Arabidopsis thaliana: one gene and its partners. Each later gene encodes a partner of the first gene's protein in a complex. Each region holds a gene or a part of one and is shown in the gene's direction. Other genes may lie near its edges. The genes, in order: EIF3E, TRIP-1, EIF3K and TIF3H1.

Region 1 (5,145 bases):
ACAATGTCGGAACAAAAAGATAATGTTGTTAATAAAGCCATGAATGAGCCATGAATGAGCCATGAAGGATTCAAAACTATGATTCATAAAATACTGCCACAGAATCCAAACCTCGTATGTATCCCCCTTCTCCAGAATCTTCACGTAATGGACCTGTAAAACACCACCCTCAGACAGAATTGTCCGTGCAGTACTTCCAGCAGATCCTTCTGGAATGGCAGAATTCATTGCAGCTTCTGACACCTTGAGGCTAAAATTTGGGGTGGAGTTTGAAGGTGACAGGGCCTTCATTCTAGCTTGAAGAGATTCATATTGAGGTCGAGGCTCACCCATTCCATTACGGCTTCTTACTCCAGACCTTTTATCACTTGCCATCAGTTCTGCTAATGATCTCAGATCCAGAGTTCCTTTCAAGTAAAATTCTTCCACATGAATGTCTGAAAAGCTCGGTAAGTTTAATGATGCCACCAGCTTGTCATAACTTGGGGGGATTTTGTAGATGACACCATCACCAATGTCCAAATACGAAGGTTCATATGCTATCCTGCAAATGATGCAAAATTCAACGTGTCAATCTAGGAAACCCAACACCGTAAGTTATCTAAGCGGATTACACAGGGTTACACGGATCCCATGGAACATGAAAAAACATATGATCAACATACTTGGGTGTAATATCACGATCATGGTAGCTTCCTCGCCTATGTGGGGTCACATCAGCTGCAAAATTTGGAGAGTTGTCCATGTCATAGAACCTCCCATGGTAATCATTCCCTGGTTTCCTACCTCTGTAACTGCCCACATTGCTCTTTAGCACCGGAAAACCCATCAGATGAGGAGGATTCCCTTGAGTCTCCTTGGACCTATTTTTGAATTTTTGTACATGCTCCCCAAGCATTGATCGGTAGTGCTCCTCAGTAACATGTTGATTGTAGAGATCATCATCGTCCTCTGCATCCTCAGCTTCTGTCCACCGCTTTCTCTTCTTGGAGCTCGCATTCATTCTCGATTTAGACCCATTGCTGTAGTTTGCCACTACCCCACCTTTAACCATTACCAACCATATAGACAGAACACAGATAAACGTCACTTAAAACTATCACAGTAGGTGGCAAAAGTAATTCCATAAAACCAATTAAAAACTGTACCTTGAGTGCTTCTACTTTCATCCTGGCTACTACTCCCATAATAATCAACTTCATCTTCAGGTTTCGGAATTCTAAACTTCATCAACGGCTGCAAGAATGAAGAATTTAGCCACAAAACCCACACTGAATTTCAACAGTAAAACAAAAACACACTGTAGAAACAAGGAGAAGCTATACAATTGCAAGATTTCCAATCACCAAAACTACATTCATCACAGTCACATGATCATCATCCAACAAGTACAAACCATCAATTTCAAGGAAATCACAAAAAAATTGAGACCTAACAGACCTCGAGATCGAATAGATTCGCGTAAGGAGAGTCCTTCGGTGGTCGTCTTGAAGGATCCATGAGAGACGGGAAGAGAATAACACGGCGTCAAAATTTTGGAGAGTCTTAATCCTTAAAAGCTTCTAGACAGAAACATTCGTCACGAGAAAGAAAAAGAGTTCGTCTCGAAGAAGAACCCTAATCCAGTATGATAGAGGAAGAGGGCGAAAGGTTAAAGACGAACATGCGCAAGTTAGTGGACACAGGCGGTACAGAAAGAAGTCCAGACTACTAACATACGCCAAACGAATAAAGCTTCTTACCGTGCGCCTCTCCACAAAAAACATTTAATTATTATTTTTTCTTAACCCCTCCGGTACCGGCCGATCAGATAACGACGGCTAAGTTATCGTTTTGGAGATAAAAATACCTTGTGGGGTAAACAACAATATATAAGAAGTAAAGGGGCGAATTTATAAATATTGAAAGCTCATATTCGAGAAAACCCTAATTTCAATATACAGGATTTTTTACCTCGTCGTCTCTGAAACTTCATCTCTGCCGTCTTAAGAAGATTTTGCCAGTGCGGGAAGCGGCGGAGATTGAGAGATTAGCGACGATGGAGGAAAGCAAACAGAACTATGACCTGACGCCACTAATAGCGCCTAACCTGGACAGACACTTGGTGTTTCCTATATTCGAGTTCCTTCAAGAGCGTCAGCTTTACCCTGATGAGCAGATCCTGAAGTCTAAAATCCAGCTTTTGAACCAGACGAACATGGTTGATTACGCCATGGATATTCACAAGAGTCTCTACCACACTGAAGACGCTCCTCAAGGTATTCTTGTGTATTCCTCTCTGGATATGTCTGTGAATTTGCGTTTTTGTGTACTGGTTTGTTTGTTTGATGATGAATGTTGAAATTTGTGGTGATAGAAATGGTGGAGAGAAGAACAGAGGTTGTCGCTAGGCTCAAATCTTTGGAGGAGGCTGCTGCACCACTCGTGTCTTTTCTTTTGAACCCTAACGCTGTGCAGGAGCTAAGAGCTGACAAGCAGTACAATCTCCAAATGCTCAAGGAACGCTACCAGGTTGTGATTTGGATGATTAAGTTGTTTAATTTTGTGAAATGTTATCCAGATTTGGTTTTGTTTGTGTATTGTGGAACACAAATCTTATATGGCTTGGTGTCTTATCAGATTGGTCCAGACCAGATTGAGGCTTTGTACCAGTACGCCAAGTTTCAGTTTGAATGTGGCAACTATTCTGGTGCTGCTGATTATCTTTACCAGTACAGGACCCTGTGCTCTAACCTTGAGAGGAGTTTGAGTGCCTTGTGGGGAAAGCTCGCATCTGAAATATTGATGCAAAACTGGGATATTGCTCTTGAAGAGCTTAACCGTCTCAAAGAGATTATTGACTCAAAGGTTAGTATTTAAAACTTCTTCTAGTTTGCGACCTTTGAAATCAATATAGATGTGAGAGTATATATGCTAACTACCATTTGTTTTTTCAGAGTTTTTCATCGCCGTTAAACCAGGTGCAGAACAGGATTTGGTTGATGCATTGGGGTCTGTATATCTTTTTTAACCATGATAATGGAAGGACACAGATCATTGATCTTTTTAACCAAGACAAGTAAGCCTCTACCTCTCTGTTATCTGCATCTCTTCTTTATACCTTTCATCACCATCTATTTCCTTGCGTTTTAAGATAAGCATGATCTAGATGCGATGAAGTTATGTATAGGTGGTGTTTGTGTGTAGAACTTTGTTTATAGTTAATGTTAGTCCTGATGTGCCTACAAGTAATTAGCAGTCACTAGTTTTAGAGTCTTCTCCTTCTTTTCATCCAGACCTATTCTTAAGATTGTGCTTTGTGTATGGGCATTTGCTGAAAAATAATTCACTTTGTTTTCATGCTGCAGTTCTGTATACTAATTTGATTTACTTTTTCAGGTATCTGAATGCCATCCAAACTAGTGCTCCACACTTGCTGCGCTACTTGGCAACTGCTTTCATTGTCAACAAAAGGAGAAGACCACAATTGAAAGAATTCATTAAGGTCATTCAGCAAGAGCACTACTCCTACAAAGATCCAATTATCGAGTTCCTGGCATGTGTGTTTGTCAATTATGACTTTGATGGGGCTCAAAAGAAGATGAAAGAGTGTGAAGAGGTAACTCATCCACATGTATAGATATTTTTGTTTGTGCAGAACTGTGCAATCAATACTCTGACATTTTAACATGATGTAGGTCATTGTGAATGATCCATTCCTTGGCAAGCGAGTTGAGGATGGAAACTTTTCAACTGTACCACTGAGAGATGAATTTCTTGAAAATGCCCGCCTATTCGTCTTTGAAACCTATTGCAAAATTCATCAAAGGATTGACATGGGGTAAGTTCTCACATTTGGTTGTATATGTTTACACATAACTCTGCTCTCCGGATTGCTCAATGTTTGGAATTTTCTCTATTCCTTATCTTTCCCAACACATGAAAATTGCCATATCCAGCTATTTAAGTTGAGAAGAATTGTTGCGGTCTTGTGGTTTAACTTTGTACTCATGTCGAGCCTATATTTCCCTTGTCAGGGTACTTGCTGAAAAATTGAATCTGAACTATGAGGAGGCCGAGAGATGGATTGTGAACCTAATCCGCACCTCAAAGCTTGATGCCAAGATTGATTCTGAGTCAGGAACTGTAATCATGGAGCCTACTCAGCCCAACGTGTAAGTAGAATAAGCTTAAATCTATGATATCATTCGTATTCTACAATCTAATCTTGTTTCCGCTTTATGCAGGCATGAGCAGTTGATAAACCACACCAAAGGCTTATCAGGACGAACATACAAGTTAGTGAATCAGCTCTTGGAACACACACAGGCGCAAGCAACTCGCTAGTCAAAATTTTGCTGTGGAAGCCTTTCCTTGATAAAACTCACCTTCGGTTGACTGGAATTATTTTCTTTTTCTTGCTCTGAGTTCACCTTTTACTTTGAAAAAGATTATTATGGAGTTGTTCTATTTGAAATGTTGGATCCACAGATTGGAACATTTTCCAACCAAATCAGCATTTTGTATCCACCCTAAGCATTTAAAGGTTTTTGCAAGCCAACGTAAATTACTGCCTTACATTGAGCATCTCTGATTTGCGTAATAGTAAGTACAATAATAGCATATAACAGAAGTAAGAAAAACAAAACTTAAGAGTTAAGACTATGACAGTGGAAAGAACAGGTCACAAACAAAACAAGTATATCAATTCGTAAATAGTATAAAGTTACTCCAGAAGTCCAACTCGCCAGAGTCATCAAAAGAGAGAAGATAAATTCAATTTCTTTGGAGGTGGGTGCCCTCCAGAGAGTACCACATAAGAATAGAAACACAACATGCAATGGAAATGGCATATAGTGTGTTTTGATCTTTCCAGTGGATCTTTTGAAGCGAGTATGAAAATACCATTTACCACTGATGGTCGAGTTACTATAAGCAACATGAAGGACCGTTTGTGTATATCAGAGGGGAAGGACATGAAACAAGAGATATGGTCATTAAACTCTCGCAAGAAATGGGAGAAGACGTATTCGATTGATTTGAATAGAACTTCCATTTGGTGTCGCCGCCATCCGAATTTGCCAACAAAAACAATCACAACATTTCAGAAAAATAAGATTTTGCTTCATAATTGGAAGATAACTGGCCGTACTTTAATTATACATG
Region 2 (4,881 bases), on another chromosome or scaffold:
CGGCGAGCGTCTTGGCACTTACCGTGGCCACAGTGGTGCTGTTTGGTGCTGTGATATCTCCAGTAAGTGGTCTCAGCCTCTCAAATTCAAATAGTATATAGTGGATGGAATGGATTCAGTTTAGGATTTAAGTCGTTGTCTTTGTTGTTTTAGTCTTTCATAGCTTAACGATTAGTGTTTTGTTTGTGATTTCTTAGGAGACTCGTCTAGATTGATCACTGGTAGTGCTGATCAGACTGCAAAGCTGTGGGATGTGAAATCTGGCAAAGAATTGTTCACTTTCAAGTTTGGTGCCCCTGCAAGGTCTGTGGATTTCTCTGTTGGTGATCATCTTGCAGTGATTACCACTGATCACTTCGTGGGAACTTCCTCTGCTATTCATGTCAAACGCATTGCAGAAGATCCCGAAGACCGTAAGTTGTCAATTCTAAGTTAAAATCTACTTATGTTTTTTAGCCTATGTCTTTTTTGTATGGGTAAAAGGAATTGATTTAATGTAATTGATGTAGAGGTTGGTGATTCTGTGCTTGTCCTTCAAAGTCCTGATGGAAAGAAGAAGATCAATAGAGCTGTTTGGGGTCCCCTGAACCAAACCATTGTTAGTGGTGGTGAAGATGCTGCTATCAGAATCTGGGATGCAGAGGTATTTCAACTTTCTTAAGGCCTTTCTTTTGTCTATCAATATCTCTCTTTTTTTTTTTATTAGCTTAAACCTTATGTGGTGCTACTGCCATTGTTACTAGACTGGAAAATTGCTTAAGCAATCAGATGAGGAAGTGGGTCACAAGGAGGCCATTACATCCCTCTGCAAAGCAGCTGATGACTCTCACTTCCTTACAGGTTCACATGACAAAACTGCAAAGGCATGTGCTTCTTTCTTTTACTTGTTTCAAAAATATGCTCTATACATATTACATATAGAGATAAATCATCTAATAGAGTGTTCTTTTTGTTGATTCTTTCAGCTTTGGGACATGAGAACGCTGACTCTTATTAAGACTTACACCACTGTGGTGCCTGTAAATGCTGTCGCCATGTCTCCACTTCTCAACCATGTATGCACTAATGCTTCTTGAAATTCAAATTCGGTTCCCAAAAGCAACAAGTCTTGATGTTATCTTTGTGAATGTTTCTGCTCTCGCTCTTTTAGGTTGTGCTTGGAGGTGGTCAAGATGCATCAGCTGTGACTACCACTGATCATCGTGCTGGGAAGTTTGAAGCTAAGTTTTACGACACGGTTAGTGTTGCAGTAAAACAGTTTTATTTAAAAACTTGTAACCTGGAAAGAGATATGTAACTGTGTATTTGGTCTTATAATATATAGATTCTGCAAGAGGAAATTGGTGGCGTGAAAGGTCATTTTGGACCTATTAATGCTTTGGCATTCAGTCCTGATGGGAAGAGGTAAACTAACAAAATTTGATTTTGATTGATTGATACAATCCTCAGTTGATGAGAGTGTTTTTTAGGCTTTGTTGCTGAGTGTTTTTTGGAATGTATTTTCAGTTTCTCTAGTGGAGGTGAAGACGGCTACGTGAGACTGCATCATTTTGACTCCAATTACTTCAACATCAAGATTTAGATTCTTTGAACATGTCTTTCCATTTTTTCATCATTCCACATAATATTTTCTCTCTTTTTAACATTTTCAGAATTGATGTACTACCAAATTACCAATATACTACTTTGATGATAAAGCTTGTTGTTTGTCTTTTCAAATAGACATATGCACCCACAAAAAAAAAACGTATGAAACTGCTTTTGAGAAAGGAAAAAAACAAAATAGGCGCAACGGGCGAGGTTCGAACTCATCAAATAGGGAAGAAGCTAAAAACGCTGAAGCCACTGAGCTTTGCTAAACTGTGGCATCTCGAGTAATTTAAAAAATTACAAAAGGGTAAAAGTGTCAAAAGAGAGGACAAAGTTGATTTCCTAGGGTTTTTGCACTTCTTCCTCGTCGTCTCTCTCGTCTTCAAGTGAACAGGTGAAGAAGAAAGCCGTTTTCCGTAATCGTTTCTTCAATTATTTTTCTTGTCTTTTGATTGATTCGATTTCGTATCTGTTTCAAAGATTCGCATCAAACCCTAAGAAACTGAAGATGAGGCCGATCCTGATGAAGGGACATGAACGTCCATTGACGTTTCTGAGGTACAACAGAGAAGGAGATCTGCTTTTCTCCTGCGCCAAGGACCACACACCCACCCTCTGGTTTGCCGATAACGGCGAGCGCCTTGGAACTTACCGTGGTCACAACGGTGCTGTTTGGTGCTGTGATGTCTCCCGTAAGTTTCTCAATTTCTCTTCAAATAGTATCGAGTCGATGATTAGATTCATTGTTTCCCCTTAGCTACAAGCTTGTTTAGGGTTTATAGTATCGAGTGAATTCTGTCGTCTTAGTCTTTCAAAGCTGAATGTTTAGTGATTTCTTAGGAGACTCGTCAAGATTGATCACTGGTAGTGCTGATCAGACTGCAAAGCTGTGGGATGTAAAATCTGGAAAAGAATTGTTCACTTTCAAGTTTAATGCCCCTACGAGGTCTGTGGATTTCGCTGTTGGAGATCGTCTTGCAGTGATTACCACTGATCACTTCGTGGACCGTACCGCTGCTATTCATGTGAAGCGTATTGCGGAAGATCCTGAGGAACGTAAGTTGTACATTCCTAGCTGAATTACTACTTACGTTTTAGCCAACTTCTTGTATGTGTTAAAAGGAAATTGTTTGTTTGATGCAATTGTGTAGAGGATGCTGAGTCTGTGCTTGTCCTTCATTGTCCTGATGGAAAGAAGAGGATCAATAGAGCTGTTTGGGGTCCCCTGAACCAAACTATTGTTAGTGGTGGTGAAGATAAAGTTATCAGAATCTGGGATGCCGAGGTATTTCAATTTTTCTTAAGGCCTTACTTGTGTATTAATTTCTCTCTTTTAAGGTTATGAACTAAACCTTATGTGGTGCTACTGCCATTGTTACTAGACGGGAAAATTGCTCAAGCAATCAGATGAGGAAGTGGGTCACAAGAAGGACATTACATCGCTCTGCAAAGCAGCTGATGACTCTCACTTCCTTACAGGTTCACTTGACAAAACTGCAAAGGCATGTGCTTCTTTCTTTTACTTGTACAGTATATCTTGTTTCAAATTTTTGCACTATACATATAGATATAAATCATCTAATAGAGTGTTCTCTTTTGTTGATTGTTTCAGCTTTGGGACATGAGAACGCTGACTCTTCTTAAGACTTACACCACTGTGGTGCCCGTAAATGCTGTCTCCCTGTCTCCACTTCTCAACCATGTATGCACTAATGCTTCATGAAATTCAATTTCGAATCCCAGAATCAGCAAGGCATGATGTTATCTTTGTGAATGTTTCTGCTCTCTCTTTTAGGTTGTACTTGGAGGTGGTCAAGATGCATCAGCTGTGACTACCACTGATCATCGTGCTGGAAAGTTTGAAGCTAAGTTTTACGACAAGGTTAGTGTTTATAATAAGAGTGTTTTACTTGGAAACATGTAACCTGGAAAATACACATATTTAAATAACCGTGTATCATTGTGTTTGGTATAATATATAGATTCTGCAAGAGGAAATTGGTGGTGTGAAAGGTCATTTTGGACCTATAAATGCTTTGGCATTCAATCCTGATGGGAAGAGGTAAATTAACAACATTTGGATTTTGATTGATTGACACAATCCTCACATGATGAGGTTTTGAGTGTGTGTTTTGGCTCTCTCACTGAGTTTGTGGAATGTATATTTCAGTTTCTCTAGTGGAGGTGAAGACGGTTACGTGAGGCTGCATCATTTTGACTCCGACTACTTCAACATCAAGATTTAGATTCCGACTACTTGAACGTCAACCTTTTAGAATCTTTGAAAAAGTCTCCCATTCCGGATTTTGTTTTCTCTCTCTTTTAACATTTTCATGTTTTTATTTACTACCAATACAAATACCTTGATGATAAAGCTTTTGAATTTTGACAGAATCTTTAGTTTTCATTTCCAGAGTTCTCAGTACAAGTTAATTAACCTGCTCTATGTGTGAGCGAGCATTAATATTCAGCTTTTATAAAATAAACTCGGTTGTAGAAAAGAATGCCTTGTGTGATTGACAGTCCTCAAGAGTAGCGAAGAAAATCACCCAAAGACAGACTCATAATGTTTGTGATATTCGTGATGATTATTGGATCTATAAATTTTCGGAGAGAGATGTATGAAACCTGAAAAGAAAGATCCTTTATGCATGAAACCTTGACAAAAGAAACAAAAGCTTACGCAAAGCAATAACACCGATTTCATAAAATTACATCAGGTCTAAAACAAGGAAATGCAACAAAGGAAGCCATTTTATAAAAAAAGAAAAGCCTCTCTATATTAACAGTAACAAACCATAACACCAAATTTTCATCTGGAGGAAAAGTTTCTCTTTCTCCCTCTCTCTCTCCGAAAATTTATAGATCAATAATCATCACACCTCTCTCTCTCTCTCTCTCTCTACTATACTATCTATCAAGTTTTTCTGAAATTAGTAGCACTTATTTTCTTTGTTTATGTCGACAAATTAAGTAGAAATCGACATGAATTACCATCGATCAGCCTGCAGCTACTGCTTTAGCTCGAGGCTTCGTATCGAGCAGTTGATGCAATTTGCTTGTAGAGTTAGAATCATTGTCTCCTTGGTTCTTGTTCTTATCTCCAGCTCCTGAGTTCTTAACTCTAGACAACATATTTGCGGGGACTCTCTTTTCGGGTTCCGAGCATTTCAGTTTGTCCTGCAACCCAAAAAGAACCGGCCATGTTCAAGAAAATGACACGCCTTCATAAAGATAATTTGTTGGTTAATGATAGCTTACTTACCAACAAGGTTGCATTTGCTCCTCTTA
Region 3 (4,322 bases), on another chromosome or scaffold:
ACTTTCTGTTGTGATTAACAGACTTCTGAGAGAACCTTGGATGCACCTGACATTGTTGACGATTTCTACCTCAACTTGCTGGACTGGGGAAGTGCAAATGTCTTAGCCATAGCGTTGGACCACACTGTCTACTTGTGGGATGCTTCCACTGGTTCTACATCTGAGCTTGTGACCATTGATGAGGAGAAGGGACCTGTCACAAGTATCAACTGGGCTCCTGATGGTCGTCATGTTGCAGTTGGACTCAACAACTCTGAAGTCCAGCTGTGGGATTCTGCATCCAACCGTCAAGTAATTACTACTCTCTCTCTTTTATGTTGAGATATAATATCCGGTGTTCTTAGTCTGATGTGTTTCTCATATTTCTGCAGCTGAGAACATTAAAGGGTGGTCACCAGTCAAGAGTAGGATCACTGGCATGGAACAATCATATCCTTACTACTGGAGGAATGGATGGACTGATCATCAACAATGATGTGAGGATCAGATCACCCATTGTGGAAACTTACAGAGGTCACACTCAAGAAGTTTGTGGGCTCAAGTGGTCAGGATCTGGACAACAACTAGCAAGTGGTGGCAACGACAATGTGGTACACATCTGGGATCGTTCTGTCGCTTCCTCAAACTCAACCACACAATGGCTGCACAGGCTTGAGGAACATACATCTGCTGTGAAGGCTCTTGCGTGGTGCCCTTTCCAAGCGAATTTGCTTGCAACTGGTGGTGGTGGAGGAGACAGGACGATAAAGTTCTGGAATACTCACACTGGGGCTTGCTTGAATTCAGTAGACACTGGTTCCCAAGTTTGTTCGTTGTTATGGAGCAAGAATGAAAGAGAGTTGCTTAGCTCACATGGGTTTACACAGAATCAGCTTACACTTTGGAAGTACCCATCCATGGTGAAAATGGCTGAGCTCACTGGTCATACATCAAGAGTTCTATATATGGCCCAGGTAACGTCATCAATTTCTTTAAGTGGTGAAGTAGTTTGAGTCTTTGAGGTCATTCAGTCCTTAAACTTGTGTTGTTTGTTGTGTTTTCTACAGAGTCCAGATGGTTGTACTGTAGCTTCAGCAGCAGGAGACGAGACCCTGAGGTTTTGGAACGTTTTTGGAGTACCAGAGACTGCAAAAAAAGCTGCACCAAAAGCAGTTGCCGAGCCATTTTCTCATGTGAATCGTATTCGATGAAGCTGTTGAAGACTAAAACAACAAGGAAAACCCATTGATTGTTACAAAAAGAAACTATATATTTTTATTTTTATTTTATTACCAAAGGATTCATTCTTCGTGAATATAAAGATTACTTGTATATATTGAAATTTGAAAAAAGAAAGATTATGATTTTATACTCTTGAAGGATATCCACATTTATTATTCTACTGGAAACAAAGTGAGACTTCATGAAGTTGTGATCAGAGAACTCGTAGATGCTGACAGTTTTGTTTGAAAAGATGTTCACTGGTGAACTTTTGGACCATGGTTAATCGAATGCAAACTCTAGTGTAGTATCAATCTTTAAAAGCAAACTGAGAAAATATTTATTTACCGAGTCTGTGGCATCAAAATGGCTTAAAAATAGTTATTTACTAAACAACCCTTTGTAGTTTCTCTGTCATCCTAATTTAACCCAAACGTTTTGTCAATTGCACCATTAGCCCAAACGACAAAGCTTTGTCGTTTTGGCTTTTAAACCCTAGATTCGTCTTATCAGCGAATCTCCTCTGCACATTCCTCAGTGATCTATCAAAGTTCGAAGAGACCGACGCAAAAGGGACAGAAACGGAGAAGGAGAAAGAGGCAGAGATGGGAGTAGAGATCCAATCGCCGCAGGAACAGAGCTCTTACACCGTTGAGCAGCTCGTCGCCCTTAATCCTTTCAACCCTGAAATCCTGCCTGATCTCGAAAACTACGTTAACGTGCAGTTTCCTTTCCCTTTTCTCTCAAGCCGGATTCTGTTGTAGAAATCGTGTTCCATTGATTGTTGTTGGTTTCGTTATGATTTTCAGGTTACATCGCAAACGTATAGTCTGGAAGTAAACCTATGCTTGCTTCGGCTCTATCAGGTGCTCTAGTTGTTCTTAAGCTGGACCTTTTGATACCAAATTCAAGAGTTTTAGTGTCTCTTTTCGTTAATTGGTATTGTTGCTTTTATGCAGTTTGAGCCTGAGCGCATGAACACTCATATCGTGGCTCGAATCTTGGTCAAGGCTCTTATGGCTATGCCAACTCCAGACTTCAGCCTTTGCCTCTTCTTGATTCCCGAAAGAGTGGTATTCTTCTTTCCTCTTAACTTCACAATGTTTTGCTTTCTTACATATATAGCTTATCGTAGATACAGAAGAAACGATTGTTCAAATGTTTCTGACTCAAGTTATTATGCCATTCCAAGTTATTTCTGTCAGTTCAGTCTGTGTACTGAGCATTCATGATAAAGTGTGAGTTTCAATGTGTTGGATTCTTGAGGACTAATAAATGTACTTGTTTGGATTGTGTGTTTCAGCAAATGGAGGAGCAGTTCAAGTCACTAATTGTTCTATCACACTACCTTGAGGTACGCAAACATCAGTATTAGTTAGTTGAGAGTTGAAAAGGTGTGCATTGAGTATTTAAAGCACTTGTTTTTCTTTTGCAGACTGGGAGGTTCCAACAGTTCTGGGATGAAGCTGCCAAGAACCGTCACATTCTCGAGGCTGTTCCAGGTAACTAACTTCTGAATCATAAATAAATCGTCTACTAATAACAAATTTCTAGATGTAGATTTGTTACTTAAGGATATTTGTGTGTAGATGTCTTATGGTACGAACAAAGTCCTCAGTAGTGGTTTATGGTACTGTCTATTCATTTTATGATTGTGTCTAGTGTAGATGTCTTATATGCGAGAGATTAAATGCAGGTTTTGAGCAAGCTATTCAAGCATATGCAAGTCACCTTCTTAGCTTAAGCTACCAAAAGGTTCCAAGATCAGTGCTGGCTGAGGTATGATGTTTGGTTTATGATCTCGTTTTCACCACGGATAGCTTAAGTCATCAAAATAGTAGAACTTCGGATGTGAAATCTTTTACTTTCTCATATAATTTTCTGTTACGAATATTCCACATCATAGTTCTGGAAATCTAATTTGTTGACCTTTTATTTGTCAATAAATGACAATTTTCACAGGCTGTTAACATGGATGGTGCATCTCTAGACAAATTCATCGAGCAGCAAGTGACTAACAGTGGATGGATTGTTGAGAAAGAGGGTGGAAGTATTGTCTTACCACAAAATGAATTTAACCATCCGGAGCTCAAGAAAAATACAGGTGAGAATGTTCCCTTGGAACACATTGCCCGCATCTTCCCCATCCTTGGTTGAACCAATTCATGAGAACACTGCAAATTTTCCTTTTGTCTCTTGTTATCTTGTGATGTACACTTTTAAGACACCGTAATGTGAATTTTGGCAATGGCCTTCCTCTTTGCAATTTGACAGATTTTCTTAAAAATCTAGTAGACCGAGACTTTGCCATAATTAGTAGATCTTCATAGTCTGAGCTCTGCTTCTTACCTTTTTTTTTACCTTCCATGGATTCCAATACTGGTTTCTCAACAAGTGTTGGAATTGGCTCGTTTCTGATTGATTATCTTCTGTTTACTTCATTACATCTAAATAAACTAAACGAATCTTCAGACAACCCAAACAATTGTCTTCTTTAAAAAGCAAAGGAAAAAAAAAACTTTTGTTTAGGTTTCTTGGAATATAGAAACTGACACGGCAAATTTGTATTGAGAAAGTTTGAAATACAAAGAGACTGTCTATGTCTTGTCGTCCTCTCTACACAGATCACATACGAAGATTGACAGCCATCCATTTGGAAGCTCACATGTTGACACCAAATCATGTCACGTGCACAATTTTCTCTTTTCCCATGCATATTTTGACTGCTCCCTATGTGATAAATTTGACTGATTAAACTATAATTAGTTAGATCATCTCGTATCTAAGATGATTGCTTAAAACAATACTATTATTCTACTAACAACTAGGTTATTCCCAAGATCATAACTTTTGATTTTGATGTAACTAGTTTTGTAATTTTGTACATATATGAGACTTTTTTGAATTGCTTAACAGAATAAATAATTGAATTTTATGAATATAATATATAAATTTTCAATTTGATCGACAACAATGAACGGTGTTTTATTTATAATTGTTTTTTTGACAATCATGAACCTAATGATTTGTTTTTTCTATTTTATTTAGTCGACATAATGAAGACTAATGAAGATACAATATGTGATTGAAGTGAACAAGTTAGATTTAATTAAGATACGTGG
Region 4 (5,391 bases), on another chromosome or scaffold:
TCTCGTTAAGTGAGCCGGTGAGATTCAAGTACTCAAGAACAAGCTTGGAGACTCTTCCATTCATACATTCTCTAACACCTTGCCAGTTGCAGAGATCTGTTCCTCTCCAAGAAATCGAATTAGATGGATCGATTGAAGATTTCAAGCTTAGTAAAGCTTCGACGTCGCTAGATCTCGCCGGAGTAACCAAACAGAAGAAGACTGTAAATGCAAAGACTACGAACGACACCGTACTCGAAGACGAAGAAGAAGAAGAAGAAGCCATTGTCGATGAATGATGAATCAATCAAATCAGAAAGAGTGGCTCTTTTCCTCAGCTCATAAAAGAAACAGAAATGATTGATACAGTTCGAAATCGAGTTTCCATAAAAAGCATCCCATGAATCTCCTCAAAGCCATCACTTTCTATTATTAAGTCACTTTCCAGATCTGCCCCATTATGCTAAAGCATCTCGATCGAAGCAAAAAAGGGAAAGGTAAAAAATGAAGAAGAAGAAGAAGAAAGTGAGAGCTCTGCTCTACTCTGCTCTTTAATGGCGGAAAGAAATCTTCTGGTAGTGAGCACTAAGAAGAGAAGAAGAAGCATTAAAATTCCCCGGCATTTTCTCTCTCTCTCACTTCACTTTCTGAGTATCTTTTCTCGAAGTTCTTGGTCGAGGAAGATGTCATCACGTGAAGCCATGCCTGGAAAACTTTTTTTTTGTTCTCACTGTGACATCTTCAATGCATTCATGAATAATAGTAGTATTATAAAAAAAATTAATAATGGGTTTATGAAGGAGAGACGAAGGAGAAAGAGAAAAATAATTCACGTATATTTTTGTCGTTATTGTTATGGTTGCTATTACTTTGCCAAGATTCAGAGACAGATAGGTTTTGGGGCCAAGGTAGTTACTGCTGCTGAGAAAATTTATATAGAGATTTTATGGTGAAGTGTGGTATGGAGCAGAAGAAATATGGTGGGAATAATTAATTTTAGGGATGATTTATTTAAAGTAAGGAGAGACATTGTTTTTCAATTTTATTCAGTTGGTGTCTGGTTCCTCTTTGCACTCTCTACCAATTATTGAGCTGCTTTTTTTTCCTACCTCTTTTTCTTGTTGAATCTTCACATGGTTTTTATAATATTTTTAATCGTATTTTAATATGGACCTCATGTTATTTATACAATGAGGATATAGATTGTTGGATTTTTGTTTGAGAGGAAAGTTAAAGATGTGTTAACATTCATGGTTGGTATTCAATCTCTAAAACGAGGATGTTGAAGTGTTTATTAAATTAGGAATTTATTAGTTGCTTAGCTTAAGCGTGATGAAAATGTAATAAAGAAGAGGTGAGAATTGAGTTCACGTAAAGGCTGAGTTAATTATTAACCAGCGGTCCACCAGTCCAAACACCAACCTCGCAAAGAGACTGCAGTCATTTAATTTGGCATCAATATTATTGTTGACTTCTTTGACCTTCAATGAATCATCAAGGTTTTCGACTTTCGAGTAATAAACTATAGTACATTTAATACGTTTTATATATTTGGTTTTACGTTTTTTGATACCAGTGGTGATTCTCTAGTTTTTGCCGTTTATTTAGGACATTGTTGATTTTCTTACGGACTTATGAAATGACCATGTCTTATAGACTTTTTAAAGTTGGTTACTAAAGATTAGACTTTGAATTAGTCCTCTTTTTCGATTAAACCCTAATACCGGATGGAATTTGGAGGGAAAGTTTCTAAAAGTTTTGGATTCTAGTTGACTCCATGACTGTTTGTTTTTTCTTACTAAGTTTTGACTAGTTGGTTAGTGTAATGGGCCCATGCTATTAAATTAAATGTTCAATATTTTGAGGAATATTATGGTCCTGGCCTTTTACAAGAGAATAGCATTATAGGTCCATGGGCTGGGTCCATCCTTATTATAGGTCGGAAAACATTTAGGGATCATTCTATAAGAATCTCAAATTTTAGGGCTCTTTTGCAATTTTAACTGCGAAACGCTTTTTTTTTTTCCTCTCTACACCCAAATTGAAGGGAAAAAAAAATCTGCGGATCCTCGAGAAGCCCTATCAAACACATAAAGTTCTTTCTCTTACTCATCTCCGCCGCCGGCAGTAAAAATATCACATCGTTAGGGTTTCACGGCGGAGATTCAAGTTCTTTGACCTAGGAAGCTTTCACTATCACCGGAGACTATTTCAATGGCAACCAGTCAGTATAATCATCCTCTCTGTTCTTCACTAGGACATAGAATTAATATTTGCATCTGTTTATTGACGATTTCTGTATATGTCGTGCTAAGTTTCTTCCGTGGTTTATTTCTGCAGTGGCTAGGTCGTTTCTGCAGGCGATATCGAAGGATGAGGCGGTGGCTCCTCCGCTTAGAGTTGTTCAGATCGAAGGACTGGTAACGTTTCTTAGTGTTCCCTGATTTTACGGTTTTAAGTGTTTTTCCTCGTTTTCTGCTGACCGATGGTGTTTGATAAATAAAAACTCTCTAGGTGAAGCTAATTTGCCCATTATCATTTGGTAGGAAGTTGTGATGCTGAGAATTTTGTTTGCTATTGTGATAGGCTGTACTAAAGATAATCAAACACTGCAAGGAGTTTTCACCGACCCTTGTCACTGGACAGCTTCTTGGACTTGATGTTGGTAGCGTCCTCGAAGTTACCAATTGTTTTCCTTTCCCGGTATGTTGATGAATTTTACACGCATTGTGAGGATTTAAGAGCTTGTTCATGATTGATGTACATGTGATTTACTGGAATTTGTATCTTAAACGAGGACAGGTCAGGGATGATGATGAAGAAATTGAAGCTGATGGTGCTAATTATCAGCTTGAGATGATGAGATGTCTGAGGGAGGTTAATGTTGACAACAACACTGTTGGCTGGTAGGTTTTTTAATGACATCAGTCTGAGTTCACTTGTTAAATTTTTTCTTGTGAATGTATTTAGATCTGCCTAATTCTTTGTTCAGGTATCAATCTACAGTTCTTGGTTCGTATCAGACTGTGGAACTGATTGAGACCTTCATGAATTACCAGGTACTTTTTTTTTTGTTAAAGAATCCTGTCTACCATGTCATTATAACATTCTAGATTTGGTCTGTTCATATGTTATGCTCTTCATTCAGCTGGAAATTTATATGTATAGCATGGCTACTCTAGTGTATGATAGGTATATTGGCATGTGTAAAAGTTGAATGTAAATTGGATCATGAATATATTTTCTGAGACTTTTTTTGTCCGCAACTCTGTTACAATCCCTTGCAGAATCATGATATGAACTCTTAAGAAATGATTCTTCTGCATCTACAGGAGAATATCAAGAGGTGTGTGTGCATCATATATGATCCCTCTAAAGCTGATCTAGGCGTCTTAGCTTTGAAGGCTTTGAAGCTTTCAGATTCCTTTATGGAGTTGTACCGAGGTGGAAACTTTACTGGCGAGAAGTATGTATCTTGATCCATTGAAAATCTAGGTTTTATGAGCCACTTAGGATGATAGTTGTAACGTTTTAATCACTATCTTTTTCAGGTTGAGAGAGAAAAATTTCTCCTGGATGGATATTTTTGAGGAAATACCTGTAAGTCTCTAGCTTTCTTCTATATTGAATTCTTACCAGCTAATCTTTTCAAGTCACTAGGTTGGAATTGTTACCTAATTATATTTTCCTCTGACAAAAAAAGTGGTTTAAATGTTTGTTACTTTTCCTTTGACAGATCAAGGTTTCAAATTCTGCCCTTGTCAGTGCCTTTATGACCGAACTGGAGACTGATACACCTGTCTCACAGGTACAATACTACTATCTGGATAGTGATCCTTGCTTGCTGTCAGCATTGCAGATTTTGACTCTTGATACTTCTGTATTTTCGCCTTTCTAGGGCGATTATGATCGTCTACACTCATCAACCACTCCTTTCCTTGAGAACAATATGGAGTTTTTGATTAAATGCATGGATGATTTATCTATGGAACAGCAAAAGGTGTGGTTTCTTCTGCACTCTTGTTCAATTCTCATCATCAGAAGTCCGAACTATCTTAACGCAAAATCTTAATTTATTTCTCCAGTTCCAGTATTACTACCGGAACCTGTCTCGTCAGCAAGCACAACAGCAAGCCTGGCTCCAGAAGAGAAGGTAGGTTTATATTTTCTGCAGAACCTTTTTGTTCTAGTTCAGGTTTGATTAGTTTCACTACCTCGTTATCTTGGAAGGTGATACAACTTTACTTACGAGAGTTGTGAATGCCTTGTAACATTTGTCTTCAGCTTTTCCTTGTCCTTTTGATCTTCCAACTAATGAAAGAGGTGTTTGGTTTATAGAACGGAGAACATGGCTCGTAAATCAGCTGGAGAGGAGCCTTTACCAGAAGAGGATCCTTCAAACCCAATCTTTAAGGCGATCCCTGAACCATCTAGGCTAGAGAGTTTCCTCATCACAAACCAAGTCTCAAACTTCTGTGGCCAAATCAATGGGTATGTTCCTCTTTAGTATTGTTTCACCATTTTTGGAGCTTTGAAAGATACTTAAAATGAGTCGACCTGTTGTTATGCAGAGTGGCTGGCCAGAACTTCAGCAGGCTTTACCTGACCAAAGCATTGCACGACAACTGATTGCAAAGACTACCCAAGTTTTTGTTTTTTGAGTCAGAAAGTGAAAGACTTGGTGGTAGAATGGATCCTATATTTGTTTTTCGTGGATGTTTTTGTTTTTATTTTTGTTGTTGTGAAGTAATTTAATTTACAAGCTTTTCAAAAAAAATCTTTATTCTTATGCATAATGAAAAATTATTGAAGTTTTGAAAGATTTATCTTGTATTGGACCTCTGATTGCCTTACAACAAATTATACATAGTTATCAAAATCCTAATCAAAAGAGTAAAAAATCTAATTTATAGAGATTTTATTATAGTTGTAGTGTTAGTTCCATCGCTAAATCCCTTGAACGACAACGTTTATTATTTCTTCTTCGGACGATTGTTTGAAGAAATTTAAAAACGACATCTTTTTATTACTTCCTCTTCGAAAGATTGTTTACCAACAAGAACAATGGCGGTTTATCATCTCCTTCTCTCGAGCCCACCTTCGCTTCTTCTTCTCCCTCCTTCTCCTCGCCGCCCTAACCTCACCTTAATCCGCCGTATCCCAGCTCATCCTCGCCTCGGAAACTCGACCAGCTTGCTTTCTTCTTCGTCACCGGTAATTCGGAAAATTCTGGTTCGTAGCACTCTCCGGGAAGACCAACCCATCGCCTCTGACTCCGAGAGTAGTCCTACTCTACTGATCGGTGAAGATTCTGCTGCTTTTGAATTAGGGAAACAGAAGCTTGTTTCCTGGGTTTATTTCGGTGTTGTCCTTGGAGTTGTTCTCTTTATCCTCAATGTTGTTTGGATCGAT

The links.
Region 2: EIF3E (region 1) and TRIP-1 share a complex: the UniProt entries of both Arabidopsis thaliana proteins name them as parts of the eukaryotic translation initiation factor 3 (eIF-3) complex.
Region 3: EIF3E (region 1) and EIF3K share a complex: the UniProt entries of both Arabidopsis thaliana proteins name them as parts of the eukaryotic translation initiation factor 3 (eIF-3) complex.
Region 4: EIF3E (region 1) and TIF3H1 share a complex: the UniProt entries of both Arabidopsis thaliana proteins name them as parts of the eukaryotic translation initiation factor 3 (eIF-3) complex.

The regions. Positions count from the first base shown.
Region 1 is NC_003074.8:21,195,967-21,201,111, reverse strand, and holds EIF3E (eukaryotic translation initiation factor 3E), read left to right. Parts: upstream 1-1,792; 5' UTR 1,793-2,038; coding exon 2,039-2,258; intron 2,259-2,356; coding exon 2,357-2,511; intron 2,512-2,619; coding exon 2,620-2,847; intron 2,848-2,936; coding exon 2,937-3,058; intron 3,059-3,378; coding exon 3,379-3,598; intron 3,599-3,677; coding exon 3,678-3,820; intron 3,821-4,016; coding exon 4,017-4,154; intron 4,155-4,226; coding exon 4,227-4,326; 3' UTR 4,327-4,595; downstream 4,596-5,145. Other genes in the region: INO80 (DNA helicase INO80-like protein), read right to left, coding at 112-544, 666-1,044, 1,149-1,236, 1,441-1,500. UniProt on the Arabidopsis thaliana protein: Component of the eukaryotic translation initiation factor 3 (eIF-3) complex, which is involved in protein synthesis of a specialized repertoire of mRNAs and, together with other initiation factors, stimulates binding of mRNA and methionyl-tRNAi to the 40S ribosome.
Region 2 is NC_003071.7:19,002,611-19,007,491, reverse strand, and holds TRIP-1 (TGF-beta receptor interacting protein 1), read left to right. Parts: upstream 1-1,759; 5' UTR 1,760-1,984; exon of another isoform or gene 1,985-2,070; 5' UTR 2,071-2,098; coding exon 2,099-2,282; intron 2,283-2,430; coding exon 2,431-2,646; intron 2,647-2,741; coding exon 2,742-2,875; intron 2,876-2,972; coding exon 2,973-3,092; intron 3,093-3,202; coding exon 3,203-3,292; coding exon of another isoform or gene 3,293-3,313; exon of another isoform or gene 3,314-3,385; coding exon 3,386-3,472; intron 3,473-3,572; coding exon 3,573-3,652; intron 3,653-3,760; coding exon 3,761-3,836; 3' UTR 3,837-4,334; downstream 4,335-4,881. Other genes in the region: AT2G46290 (Transducin/WD40 repeat-like superfamily protein), read left to right, coding at 1-62, 198-413, 510-643, 744-863, 966-1,055, 1,151-1,237, 1,325-1,404, 1,507-1,582; GBF3 (G-box binding factor 3), read right to left, coding at 4,591-4,770, 4,856-4,881. UniProt on the Arabidopsis thaliana protein: Component of the eukaryotic translation initiation factor 3 (eIF-3) complex, which is involved in protein synthesis of a specialized repertoire of mRNAs and, together with other initiation factors, stimulates binding of mRNA and methionyl-tRNAi to the 40S ribosome.
Region 3 is NC_003075.7:16,038,101-16,042,422, reverse strand, and holds EIF3K (eukaryotic translation initiation factor 3K), read left to right. Parts: upstream 1-1,614; 5' UTR 1,615-1,805; coding exon 1,806-1,919; intron 1,920-2,009; coding exon 2,010-2,066; intron 2,067-2,159; coding exon 2,160-2,273; intron 2,274-2,503; coding exon 2,504-2,554; intron 2,555-2,635; coding exon 2,636-2,702; intron 2,703-2,896; coding exon 2,897-2,979; intron 2,980-3,162; coding exon 3,163-3,357; 3' UTR 3,358-3,772; downstream 3,773-4,322. Other genes in the region: CDC20.2 (Transducin family protein / WD-40 repeat family protein), read left to right, coding at 22-291, 372-953, 1,047-1,190. UniProt on the Arabidopsis thaliana protein: Component of the eukaryotic translation initiation factor 3 (eIF-3) complex, which is involved in protein synthesis of a specialized repertoire of mRNAs and, together with other initiation factors, stimulates binding of mRNA and methionyl-tRNAi to the 40S ribosome.
Region 4 is NC_003070.9:3,607,102-3,612,492, reverse strand, and holds TIF3H1 (translation initiation factor 3 subunit H1), read left to right. Parts: upstream 1-1,876; 5' UTR 1,877-2,193; coding exon 2,194-2,203; exon of another isoform or gene 2,204-2,319; coding exon 2,320-2,399; intron 2,400-2,565; coding exon 2,566-2,682; intron 2,683-2,781; coding exon 2,782-2,885; intron 2,886-2,971; coding exon 2,972-3,038; intron 3,039-3,311; coding exon 3,312-3,445; intron 3,446-3,530; coding exon 3,531-3,579; intron 3,580-3,715; coding exon 3,716-3,787; intron 3,788-3,877; coding exon 3,878-3,979; intron 3,980-4,064; coding exon 4,065-4,132; intron 4,133-4,317; coding exon 4,318-4,470; intron 4,471-4,550; coding exon 4,551-4,608; 3' UTR 4,609-4,862; downstream 4,863-5,391. Other genes in the region: AT1G10850 (Leucine-rich repeat protein kinase family protein), read right to left, coding at 1-265; Z-ISO (15-cis-zeta-carotene isomerase), read left to right, coding at 5,044-5,391. UniProt on the Arabidopsis thaliana protein: Component of the eukaryotic translation initiation factor 3 (eIF-3) complex, which is involved in protein synthesis of a specialized repertoire of mRNAs and, together with other initiation factors, stimulates binding of mRNA and methionyl-tRNAi to the 40S ribosome.